2 linked regions of the Arabidopsis thaliana genome follow. The gene in region 1 interacts genetically with each later gene. Each region holds a gene or a part of one and is shown in the gene's direction. Other genes may lie near its edges. The genes, in order: PIR121 and STI.

Region 1 (5,223 bases):
TCATACAAGTATTGACCATTTTATTACCTATCTTACTCTAACACTTATAAGCAAGTTAACATAGCAATGGGACAGTAACTACATATGCACAAATTTTAAAGGTTGTAAAGGCAGCCATTGTATGGCAGTAGTTTTGAGAGAGAAGTCGTGCTCGTGCTATCACTCTAGTATTTCCTTTCTCATTGGATTTAAAGATCTAGGATATTAAGAAGGAATTGACTGCAGTAAGAGTTTATGGAAAATAACCGTGCAATAGATAAATAGTGATTGTGATGTTTTATTTCATCAGCCTTGCCCGTATAGCTGATGAATTTAGAAAACCTGGATCTTTTGAGTGATTGAAATAACTTGTTTTATTTATTTACTGGCCAGGACATCATTACAGAATTGGCAAATGACCCAAAGCTTGTCTTTCACTGCGGAATAACTCCACGGAAGCTGCCGGTATGTGATTCATTTTCTGGCAGGTGGTTTTTTTCTTTTTTCTTTTTTTCATGTGATCTAGTTTCTTATTCTCAGCAATTAGTAGAGCACAATCCTCAGATAGCAGTTGAAATTCTCACCAAGTTGAATAACTCCACAGAGATTAATGAGTAAGTCATCACCTTATTGGTTCCACCATTTACTTTCGACCAAAATTATAACTTTTAAAGTGGGAATCTAAGAATGCTTCTTCAGCTATTATGAAGCTCTAGGAAATATGGACATGAGCCTGCACTCAATGGAAGTTGTGAATAGGCTCACAACTGCAGTTGAACTTCCCAAGGACTTCATACGGATGTACATCACTAATTGCATATCGTCTTGTGAGAACGCTAAGGTATTAAAACAAAGCGTCCTTTTGATTTCCCGTTAGGTACTTAAAACAAAGCTTTCTATGAGTATCCATAACGCCATCCTATAATCTTGTGTGAAAAAACTTCTGCTTGTGCTTTGCATTATGTGCTTTGTGTATATGATTCTCGGATTTGTTGATTTCAATGTAGTTGTTTTGTTAACGGTATAGTGATATATTGTTTTCGATCTGTAGCAGCAAGACAAATACATGCAGAATAGGCTTGTACGGCTTGTTTGCGTCTTCTTGCAAAGCTTAATTCGTAACAAGATCATCAACGGTATGCATTCTCTGTTTCTGACTGATTGCTATCAAATTAGGCGTTTTGCTTTGCTAATAACACAGAAAGATCACTAGATACATTCACAGAGGAAGCTTTTATAGTCTATTAGTATGATGTACAATTGTGGGTGATATATGTTTTTTTTGGGTAAAAAATGTAACAGTGAAGGATCTATTCATAGAAGTTCAAGCTTTCTGCATTGAGTTTTCTCGGGTTCGAGAAGCAGCTGGTCTCTTCAGGCTTTTGAAACAATTGGATGAATAATTTACTCTTTCTTCTTCTTCTTCTTCTTCTAATCATCTTCGTCTCCATTTTATTGTATTCCCTATTTTTGTAGCTAAAGAAAGTACTTTATTTTGAATCCAAGACAGTTTTCGCTTTTTCTAGAGTTTCATTCTCAATTCATATGTTTTTACAACAAAAATTTCTGGTTAGACTTAGACGGCATGTCCTTTCCATTAGGCTACTAACACTTAACCGTGAACGGTTTACATGCTCACACCGATAGCACCAACACCTGCTGGTTCTTATCCGGATTGGTTTAAGGCTCCGGTTAAACCTTAAAAGTTGTTACTGATTCTACAAAGTAACTTATTTTATGTTCAGTAGTTGTTCACTGTAAAATTGTATTTATATCTATTTTGTTTTGTTACTGGTATTACTCTTATGTATTTTCCCAAAATAAGAAATGGTTGAGGATAAAGGAATCAGTAAATAATGATTTAGCTGTCATCAAGTTTGCTTCATAGTAAAGACACAAATGTAATGCTTCTTCTCAAAGCTTTAATCGGATTGAACAAATATGTACTAAAGAAAAATTCTGAAAGGTGAAAATACAAACGAGGACCCAAAAAGAAACATTTTTTTTTTGTTACAGAAAAACAAATAGAAAAAGAAAGCTTCCAACTTTGCGAAATATTTGGTTCGGACAGAGTAGTAGCGAATTTATCGATCTCTGTCCGTAAAGAATCAGAAGAAAGGCGAATCAATTGACTTGAAGTAGTAGCAGCTCTCCTCTCCTCTCCATTGTTGTTGGGTAAGAGCCTTAAAGTTGAAAGCTTTATCCTTTAGTCGCCCAATGTTGCTAATTGCTTCGTCTGATCTTTCCAGGTGACTCAATGGCGGTTCCTGTAGAGGAAGCAATCGCAGCTCTTTCCACATTCTCCTTAGAGGTAACTTCGATATTCTAGATTTTGGTAAAATTTAGAAATTGTGGGTCTTTGGATCCTTTTGACTACAAATTTTCTTTCCGGAGTTCATATTTCAAAATTTTCTTCTAGAAAGGATATGAAATTATTGTTTCTATTTCTTGTTAAATCCTTTTCGTGTAAAATTATCACATATATTGTTTAATCACCTGTGGATCTTTGCCTAAGTTAGCAGTAAAATAAGTTTCAACGAAATGTTGAAGATTTAAGTAGCTTCTTGAAAAATTTGAAGTCACTCTAGTACATTTTCTTGAAGCATTTTGAATTTTGGTTATAGGATGAGCAACCAGAAGTCCAAGGACCGGCTGTGATGGTTTCAGCTGAAAGAGCAGCAACCGATAGTCCCATCGGTATGCTTCATTGTTCTCTTGTCACTCTTTTACCATAAAATCCAAATAATCAAGATGTTTTTTTTTTTATTACTATTCTGTAGAATATAGTGACGTCGCTGCATACCGGTTGTCTCTATCAGAAGACACAAAAGCTCTTAACCAGCTGGTATATGGCTATTCTTCTTCATTTGCCTCATCTTAGAAAGACTGATTAAATTACGATTTGATATTTTTACGGTTATGTTGTGTTAATCGTGTTATATTTGAATACTTCAAGTAAGTTTTCAACCAATTGTATATATGCAGAATACACTTATACAAGAAGGAAAAGAGATGGCGTCAATTCTATACACATATAGAAGTTGTGTCAAAGCACTGCCTCAGGTCCTTGTGAAATCTATCACTACACTCCTTGTCTCCATTGCATATCTACCTTTAGACATTTTATCTGATAAAATGTAGCTTTGAGAATTATGCTATGCGTTAGTTCTTCATGGTATTCGAAATCTCGTAGCAACTGTACGAGACTCTTTTTTGAACTACAAAGTATAATGCAGTTATAATGCAAAAATAAAAGCAACAACAAAGTTCTCTGTATAAATAATAGCGAATGATAGAAATTACTGAAAATAATATCAAATACAGTACTTCTTGCTGGGTGTTGTTGTGTATATTTCTTCCATAACACACATAACTTTCTTTATTAATGATATACATGCAGCTTCCCGAATCTATGAAGCATAGTCAAGCGGATTTGTATCTAGAAACATATCAAGTTTTGGACTTAGAAATGAGCCGTTTACGCGAAATTCAAAGATGGCAATCGTCGGCTTCAGCTAAAGTGCGGTGTATATCCTTCCTCGTCCAACTCGTTTTATATAAATTCCTGTATCAGAAATAATGTGCGTATATTCTCTGTCTGTGCAGTTAGCTGCTGACATGCAGCGGTTTTCCAGACCTGAACGGCGGATCAATGGTCCCACAGTCACACATCTTTGGTGGGTTATAACTCTTATTTTGTGTTTTGTATTAGATCCTTGGATGATTAACTTTCCTCGTGTATATAGTTTAACTGTGATTTTACTTAATATAGGTCAATGCTAAAGTTGCTTGACGTCTTGGTTCAGCTGGATCATCTTAAAAATGCTAAAGCTAGCATTCCTAATGATTTCTCTTGGTATAAGAGGTGAAAGATATAATACTTTTATCTTTCCTATCTATATTTTCTGCAAATAGGACACTTGAATGTAGGTAGATCGATGTTTGTTACTAATCCTTTCAGCTACTAAAGCTCTATTTAAGAGTTGAATTAGTTTCCTAGAAGCTTTTTTTTTTAGTTTATGTTCTTAAGATAGTTTCACTCTTTTCAGAACATTCACTCAAGTCAGTGCGCAGTGGCAAGATACAGATACAATGAGAGAAGAGTTAGACGACTTGCAGGTGTTTGCATGGCTTGTTTATGCAATCATTTGATAATGCCTTCCCCTGTGGTTTGTCGTAAATGAAAATGTGAGTTCTTATGTATGCAGATCTTCCTGAGCACAAGATGGGCTATTTTACTCAACCTGCACGTTGAGATGTTCCGTGTAAACAAGTATCCTTTCTTCCAGACATTTATCACCATCGTGTGGCTGTTAAAGACATTATTATGGGTTTGTCTATCTGAGATATGCATGCTGCTCAAGTCCCTTGTGCCATTTGACTATATTGCAAGCTTTTGGATTCCTTAGTAAATTCAGTGTGGAAGATATTCTCCAAGTTCTCATAGTCTTCATCGTGGAGTCTCTGGAGTTGGATTTTGCACTACTTTTTCCTGAGCGGTATATTCTTCTCCGGGTTCTACCTGTTCTTGTTGTCTTAGCAACACCATCTGAGAAAGATACCGAGGCTTTATACAAGAGGGTAAAACTCAACAGATTGATAAACATTTTCAAGGTATTGAGATTCATGTTATACCTGTTTTCGCATTCACAACCAATATACCGCAAAGCCTTGTTTCCAAGTCGCTAATTGTCATATTTGTTGTGTGTTTTTCGGCTATCAGAATGATCCTGTCATTCCTGCGTTTCCAGATCTCCATCTTTCTCCTGCTGCAATTTTGAAAGAATTGTCGGTATACTTTCAAAAGTTTTCATCACAGACTCGCCTTCTGACTCTTCCAGCACCTCATGAGCTCCCTCCACGTGAAGCGCTAGAATATCCTTTAATATTTTCACTGTTACTTGCCTATTTTAACTATTATCTGGATTATTGTTAACCGTACACATGCTTTGAAAATTGCAAGCCTTAACATATTTTACATATCAGAGGCACTATTTGATAGTCAATCACATTGGAGCTCTCCGTGCTGAGCATGACGATTTCACAATCCGATTTGCTTCATCCATGAATCAGGTGCTCAAGCTATCTCTATCCCTGGAGCTCCAATTTTCTTGTTCTTATTTTGAGTCTCTAGGATGTTGTTCTCACTTGCTTTCATGCAGTTATTGCTGTTGAAGTCAAACGATGGAGCATATACTGAATGGTGCAGAGAGGTCAAAGGAAACATGTACGATATGGTTGTTG
Region 2 (7,486 bases), on another chromosome or scaffold:
TTATTATATATATATATATATATATTTATTATTTTTTTTGAACGGAAAAAAGCCAGAACTGTAGTCATATACATATATCTGAATATAGCGTTTAAAAAATAATTGTGTTATCATTGTATGACACTCAAAATTTTCATTTTTTGCCAATTTTCTTTTTAGGGTACATTGATAACATAAGATCAATAAAAATATATTATGGCATCAGTTAGGTAACATACAGTATATAAACAAAAGCCACATGTTGAAAATACGTAAATAAGTATGCAACAACACTATATCGTGATAAGAACTAATATTCAACAACACTACTTTATTATCGTAGCAAAGTATGATAATCATAAACATTTATTTTCACACAGTAACTATTTTTTTAAAGATAACATCATAAAAGTCAACATTATATTAAATATAGTTATAACATAATGTATATTCTTTTTTATTTATTGTACTGTAAATTTATTCAACAACCAAAAAACTTCCTTTTATGAATATGAAAAGAATTTGAGAAGCTTTGAAATGGTAATCTTTATATTCTACAATAAATCTTTATATTCTACTATAAAAAAATATTTTCACTGATGATCAGATGATGCATCAAACTTTTTTTTTTTTTTTTCCTTTTGCAGAACTCAATATACTGATATTTCAAATCTGAAAAATACGACCAATTTTTTTTTATTTTTTTTAAACGAAAAAGTGAGAATTGTAGAATTGTAGTGATATAGTGAAGATCGGATTTTAAAATAATTATATCATTATACGATATTTAGACAAATCACTTTTTTTTTTGCAAATGTTCTTTTAAGTTTACATCTAAATTTGAAGATATAAACTCGATAAAAATATATTATGGCATTAATAAAGTAACATATTTAAACATAACGCACATGTTGAAAACACGAATGTAAGTATTCACCAACACAATATAATATCCTCCAAAATGCGATTCAACATTTTTCTGCCAAATACGATTTCACATTTGTTTTAATAAAACATGATTTCATATTTTTCCACGAAAACATGATTCCGTGGTTTTTCCACTAAAAATATGATATTAATCATAACTATTTATGTCACTAAATATTATTCAATGGTAATAATTATTGATTAATTATTCTATTTAATTAATTAATTATTTTATTTTCAGGAATCAACTCATTTAACCATTAAACCATCAAATAATTGGATTAATGAATTGACTCAATCCGTTCAACAAATGAATTGAATCAACTCATAAACCATTTCAGCCTAAACTTGGATTATGGATTGGTTTGAATGAGTTTATCCATTTTGACATCTCTAACAATACATATCTACATATGAACTAATATTCAACAACACTATTTATTCTCATAGTAATGATAATCTTAAATGTTCATTTCCATACCAAACTATTAAGAAAAGAAAAACAGTATAAAATTCAACATTATTCCTATAATAAAGATAGTTATATTTTTTTTTTTGCAAAATAAGAAATATAGTTATTTTGTTTTGTGAAATTAATAAATATAGTTATCACATAATGTCTGTCCTTTTTTCTTTATTCCTGATAATGTAAAATTTGTTCAACAAAAAAAATACACTTCCTTACGAAATAGAGATGTAACGTCTATAAGTCTGCAAAGAATTACCTTAATGTATAGTTCTTTTCATTAAGGTAAGCATTCTATTCTACCATATACAAATATTCCCATTGATAATTCACTAATCTTTTCTCTATTAGTATTCATCATGATGTTTATTTTATTTTTTTGACTAAATTTGTTAGTATTTTTTTGAGAAAAAAAGAAAGAAAAAACTAAGTGTGACGAGACACGAAAACACTAGACAAGGAGGGGCTTTGACGAGACCCGAACAAACAAATGTGAATTTAAAAAAACCCATTAAAATAATTAAAAATAATGGAAATTTAAAAATAGAAAATAATAGTGTCTCTCGCTTTCCTTCATGCGTTCTCTCGCAGTCGCAGGCGACTATCAAGTTTCAGAACTCGAGATTCATCATTCTCTGTTCCACTTCCGGCGATGTATTATAATCCCTAGACCTTAGTTCCGGCGAACTCTCGAAGAACAAACAAGTATATATTATTATTTTCTTCTTAGTGTTTCGTGCTGTTTCCACGATTCCTTCGTTTTATCTTGGATCTACAGTTTTACATTCTTCTGTTTTTCTTCACTTTCATTGTTTCCACTGCGTTGTTCTGATTAGGTATTGCACAGGTTTTGAAATGTCAGTGAAAACGCGAAGCTGAGAGAGGAGAAGGAAGAAATCGAAGGAAGCTGATTCAAATTTAGGAAGAAGAAAAAATGTCAGGTTCGAGAGTTTCGGATCTGAGTAAATTGCATCTGAAGAAGGAGCTGACTCAAATCAGAAAAGCTGGCCGTGTTTTACGCGATCCAGGTACTACTTCCTCCTGGAAATCTCCTCTCGATTCGTCAAGATCCGTCGCGCTTTTGGAGACTCCGGCGAGCAGAAACGGTGGCAGTTCGAGTCAGTTTCCGATTCGAGGAGAGAGTAGTACTAATCGTCGTGGGAAAGAGAAGAAGGTGTTTTTGTATAACTGGAAGACTCAGAAATCTTCTAGTGAGAAAAGTGGATTAGCTAAGAATGGTAAGGAAGAAGAGGAAGAAGAAGAAGATGCTTCTTCGTGGACGCAAGCTAGTGTTAATGATGATGATGATGTGAGTGATGCGAGGAATGGTGGTGATTCGTATCGTAGAGAAATACAATCAGCTTCGATGGGTTTTAGGTGTAGAGATACGAATCTAGCGTCACAAGGTGTGTCAAAGATGAGGAAGAGTAATGTTGGTAGTTGTAAGAAGAAGAGTAAGAAAAAAATTAGCTCTTCTCGTTTGGATTGTTTGTCAAAGTATCAACCTAGAGATGACATTGTTGCTAGAAATTGTAATGCTGGATCAGATGACACAGAGGAGGAATTGAGTAATTCAGAGGATTTGAGGAAGGTCACTGGTGCGTCTCCTTTGCTTTTGAAGCTTAAGCAGAAGAACTGGTCACGTTCTTCGTCAAGATTGTTGAGAGCTAATAATAGAAAAGAGGATTCTTCATGTACTTATAATAGTACACCGGCTTTATCCACTAGTTCGTACAATATGTATGCTGTTCGTAATCCCAGCACTGTTGGATCTTGGGATGGTACCACGACTTCGGTGAATGATGGTGATGATGAGTTGGATGATAACTTGGATTTACCAGGGAGGCAAGGATGTGGTATTCCGTGTTATTGGACGAAGAAGGCGATGAAACATAGAGGCGGATGCAGAAGTTGTTGCTCTCCATCGTTTTCGGATACTTTGAGAAGAACCGGAAGTAGCATTTTGTGTGGGAGTCAATCTGTGTATCGTAGACATAATAGACATTCTTCTGGAGGGTATAGTAAACAAAAAATTGCTTGTAGAAGTGCACAAGGTGTTTTACCTTTACTCAGTTACGGTGGTGATGGTAGAGGAGGGTCTTCTTTAGGAACCGGGCTTAGTGATGATGAGCTTTCTACCAATTATGGAGAGCTTGATTTAGAGGCTCAGAGTAGATTAGACGGGAGGAGGTGGTCTACTAGTTATAGGAGTCAAGATGGTTTGGAGGCTGTAGCGTTAGATGGAGAAGAAGAAGAAGGAAGTACACCGGAAACAATCCGAAGCTTCAGCCAAAAGTACAGACCAATGTTTTTTGAGGAATTGATTGGACAAAGTATAGTGGTTCAATCGTTAATGAACGCTGTTAAAAGGAGTAGGATCGCTCCTGTTTATCTTTTCCAGGGTCCTAGAGGAACTGGTAAAACATCAACCGCAAGGATTTTTTCAGCCGCCCTGAATTGTGTGGCCACTGAAGAAATGAAGCCTTGTGGGTACTGTAAAGAGTGCAATGATTTCATGTCTGGGAAAAGTAAGGATTTTTGGGAACTTGATGGAGCTAATAAGAAGGGAGCTGATAAGGTTAGGTACCTTTTAAAAAACCTACCGACGATACTTCCACGAAATTCCTCAATGTACAAGGTTTTTGTGATAGACGAGTGTCATTTGCTGCCATCGAAGACGTGGCTGTCTTTTCTTAAGTTTCTTGAAAACCCTCTGCAGAAAGTTGTCTTCATATTTATAACTACTGACCTTGAAAATGTTCCCCGGACCATTCAGTCAAGGTGCCAGAAGTTTCTCTTTGACAAACTCAAAGATTCTGACATAGTAGTGAGACTAAAGAAAATTGCTTCAGACGAAAATCTTGATGTAGACTTGCATGCGTTGGACCTGATTGCTATGAACGCGGATGGCTCACTTCGAGATGCTGAAACTATGTTGGAGCAGCTGAGTTTGCTGGGAAAACGCATCACCACAGCTTTAGTAAACGAGCTAGTAAGTTTTTCTAGTTCTTTCTGTAACTGTGCACTGAAAAAAAGTAAAATTTATTAAAGTTAAAAATGTGGCATTATGTGTTTGTTCAGGTTGGTGTTGTTTCAGATGAAAAATTGTTGGAACTCTTGGAATTAGCATTGTCTTCTGACACAGCAGAGACTGTTAAGCGAGCTAGAGAGTTGTTGGACCTTGGAGCTGACCCAATAGTCTTGATGTCTCAACTCGCCAGTCTTATTATGGATATCATTGCTGGTACATACAAGGTCGTAGATGAAAAATACAGCAACGCCTTCTTTGACGGAAGAAACTGTGAGTTCCCAGCAAAGTATTTACATATTGGTCATATGTGCTAAAAAAGTAGTTTAGTGAGGCGTTATGATCTGGTAGCTTGTTGAGATCATTGCCCGTTTCATATTTTCTAACACCCTTAAGCTAATATATCCTGTAAGAGCAATTTTACTCCCTACGATGAGTCATAAACCACTTGGTTTGATTTTCGAAAATTCTTGCTTCGTTTTTGTAGTGACTGAAGCAGATATGGAGGGATTAAAGCATGCTTTGAAACTTCTTTCTGAGGCTGAGAAGCAGCTGAGAGTTTCTAATGACCGTTCAACATGGTTCACAGCGACTTTGCTTCAGCTTGGGTCAATGCCTTCTCCTGGCACCACACATACAGGCAGTAGTAGAAGGCAAAGCTCTAGAGCAACTGACGATGACCCAGCAAGCGTTTCAAGGGAAGTGATGGCTTACAAACAGAGAATAGGAGGACTTCACTTTAGTAAGTCGGCATCTCCAGCTTCGGTTATAAAAAGGAACGGGAATCATTCCCATGAAGCGAAACCATTCTCCAGGGTTATCGATAATAACTGCTATAAATCCTCCTCATCTAGCCAAATGATAGAGAGCGAAGGTTCCATTGCCTCACATGAAAATAGCATCGCAAGCACCATGATGCTTAATCAAAGAAGTTCAGAGAAACTTAACGATATATGGAGAAAATGTATTGAAAGATGTCACTCAAAGACACTGAGGCAGCTGCTCTATACTCATGGGAAACTTATATCTATCAGTGAAGTTGAGGGTAAAAAGCCTAAAAGTTTCTTCTTTTCTCACTTTTTTGGTTTTCTCCTTTCCAAAGATTCTAATAAAATGAACATGACATGATTTGCAGGTATTCTCGTTGCTTATATCGCGTTTGGAGAAAACGATATCAAACTGAGAGCTGAAAGGTTTCTAAGCAGTATCACAAACTCGATTGAAATGGTACTAAGGCGAAGCGTAGAGGTCAGGATAATTCTCTTGCCTGAAACCGAGTTACTCGTTGTCCCTCACCAAACCCGGAAACCAGAAATGACCAACAAAAGTGGGCATCTAAATAACATCGCTGGTTTAAATGCCGAAACAGATGTTGAAGTTGGTAGCAGCGTGGAAAGCAGATCAAAACTCCCGATGCAAAGGATAGAATCAATCATCAGAGAACAAAGATTAGAAACCGCTTGGTTACAAACCGCTGATAAAGACACACCTGGATCGATAATACGGGTAAAACCCGAAAGGAATCAGATTCTACCTCAAGAAGACACTTATCGCCAAACTAACGTAGCTTCTGCTATTTCTTCTTCTGGCCTAACCACTCACCAATGGGTAGATGAGCTAAACAATGAAGTTAAGCTTTTGAAAATCGGCGACAATGGTGAGCTTCAGGAGAATCTAACCGGTACAAGAGGACAGCATTGTCCTCTTTCCCCAAGCTTACTTCATGATACTAACTTCGGAAACAACAAAGACAATCTGTAAGTTCCTCACTCTGATCCTTTTCGATACAAAACCGAAAAGAAAAAACAAATAAGATCTTTATAATCAACGTATTGTCGTAATGATGTCATGTTTGGCTTTGGTTGTGTAGAGGAGGATACGAATCAGGATCAGGAAGAGTTGGTTGTAATATATTATTTTGTTGGAACACAAAAAAGACTCAGAGACGAAGCAAGGTTTGTGCTAATAACTCGAATCTGTTCCTCCTTTTCGATGTTTTCTTTGTCTCATTTGTTTTTCATTTGCGGATTTGATTAGTCGAAACAGGTCAAGGGAACTCCTGTTCGTTCGCGGAGAAATCGGAAGAGTCGGTTCTCTCTGTTTAATGGATGTGCTAAGCCAAGGAAAGCAGAAGGTAACATTAGAAGATGAAACTAAGTTCTTTAGTCATGAAAAACAAAATTGTTCCCTCAAGCTCTAATTTATCATCTGTTCTTCCACTTCCACATAGTTTTCCCTTAATTATGTTTGATAATGATATGTCAAAGGACAGTTTTAATATATTCACTGTAAAGTTCCTATCCATTTTTGTTATCTATCTTATAAAAACTTCAAAAATGTTACTGTGAAATAATCGACGAATTGGTTAACCTTGCACATTAGTTTATATTTTTCAATTTTTTTGTGTTGCATTTGTTGGAAAAATAAATAATATTTATTATTTGTGATTTACCTTTTTCAGTTATTGTAATTTTTAGTTTCATATTTACTTGGTTTATGACACATATTGAAACTATTGAAACAAATCAAAATTTCTATTGTTAAACTCTTTTCAAGTCTTAAAAAATATTAAAATTTTAAAATGAACAAAAAGGTTATGTAAGTTTTGTTTCACCTAACTTAAGCGGGGAGATGAAAAGTTGAAAAGTTAGTAAATGTAATAGACCAAAGGGTTTGTCGCGGAGAATAAATTATAAAAGAAAACAAACTATAATTTTGATATTTATAAATATATTTTTTGGAACAAATATTTATATTTATAATATTTTATGTAATTTATTTTCTATATATATCATCCAAAAATTTAGTGGAGTATATTTTAAAAAAAAAAAAATCAAAACTATTTAATACTTGGAATTTCAACAAATATTATATTACTCTATGTTATATAACCTTAAATCGGTTTGGACCTTCCAGTTTTACGTAAATCAAGTTAATAATGTAAACTAGGAAAATTAAAATTTAGATAAAGAATAGCTGAGATCAAACTGTCTCAGATTTTGTTTTTGTTTTTGATTTATTTTAGTAATTAACGAATCATCACGATATAGTAGTGATAAAATTATAAATTTATAATATTAAGCTGT

Evidence for each region.
Region 2: changes in PIR121 (region 1) and STI impair growth when combined (synthetic growth defect), as found in Arabidopsis thaliana (one study listed by BioGRID).

The regions. Positions count from the first base shown.
Region 1 is NC_003076.8:6,101,797-6,107,019, reverse strand, and holds the start of PIR121 (transcription activator), read left to right. Parts: upstream 1-2,039; 5' UTR 2,040-2,154; intron 2,155-2,228; 5' UTR 2,229-2,236; coding exon 2,237-2,290; intron 2,291-2,603; coding exon 2,604-2,676; intron 2,677-2,759; coding exon 2,760-2,824; intron 2,825-2,964; coding exon 2,965-3,042; intron 3,043-3,379; coding exon 3,380-3,499; intron 3,500-3,585; coding exon 3,586-3,656; intron 3,657-3,751; coding exon 3,752-3,844; intron 3,845-4,028; coding exon 4,029-4,098; intron 4,099-4,187; coding exon 4,188-4,252; intron 4,253-4,397; coding exon 4,398-4,593; intron 4,594-4,702; coding exon 4,703-4,854; intron 4,855-4,958; coding exon 4,959-5,052; intron 5,053-5,141; coding exon 5,142-5,223. Other genes in the region: AT5G18420 (CCR4-NOT transcription complex subunit), read left to right, coding at 373-444, 520-593, 679-820, 1,031-1,115, 1,282-1,382. UniProt on the Arabidopsis thaliana protein: Involved in regulation of actin and microtubule organization. Part of a WAVE complex that activates the ARP2/3 complex. Interacts with the active form of RHO-family GTPases.
Region 2 is NC_003071.7:658,787-666,272, forward strand, and holds STI (AAA-type ATPase family protein), read left to right. Parts: upstream 1-1,868; 5' UTR 1,869-2,077; intron 2,078-2,208; exon of another isoform or gene 2,209-2,219; 5' UTR 2,220-2,306; coding exon 2,307-4,364; intron 4,365-4,453; coding exon 4,454-4,673; intron 4,674-4,887; coding exon 4,888-5,445; intron 5,446-5,535; coding exon 5,536-6,157; intron 6,158-6,270; coding exon 6,271-6,355; intron 6,356-6,437; coding exon 6,438-6,551; 3' UTR 6,552-6,849; downstream 6,850-7,486. UniProt on the Arabidopsis thaliana protein: Acts as a key regulator of trichome branching through an endoreduplication-independent pathway.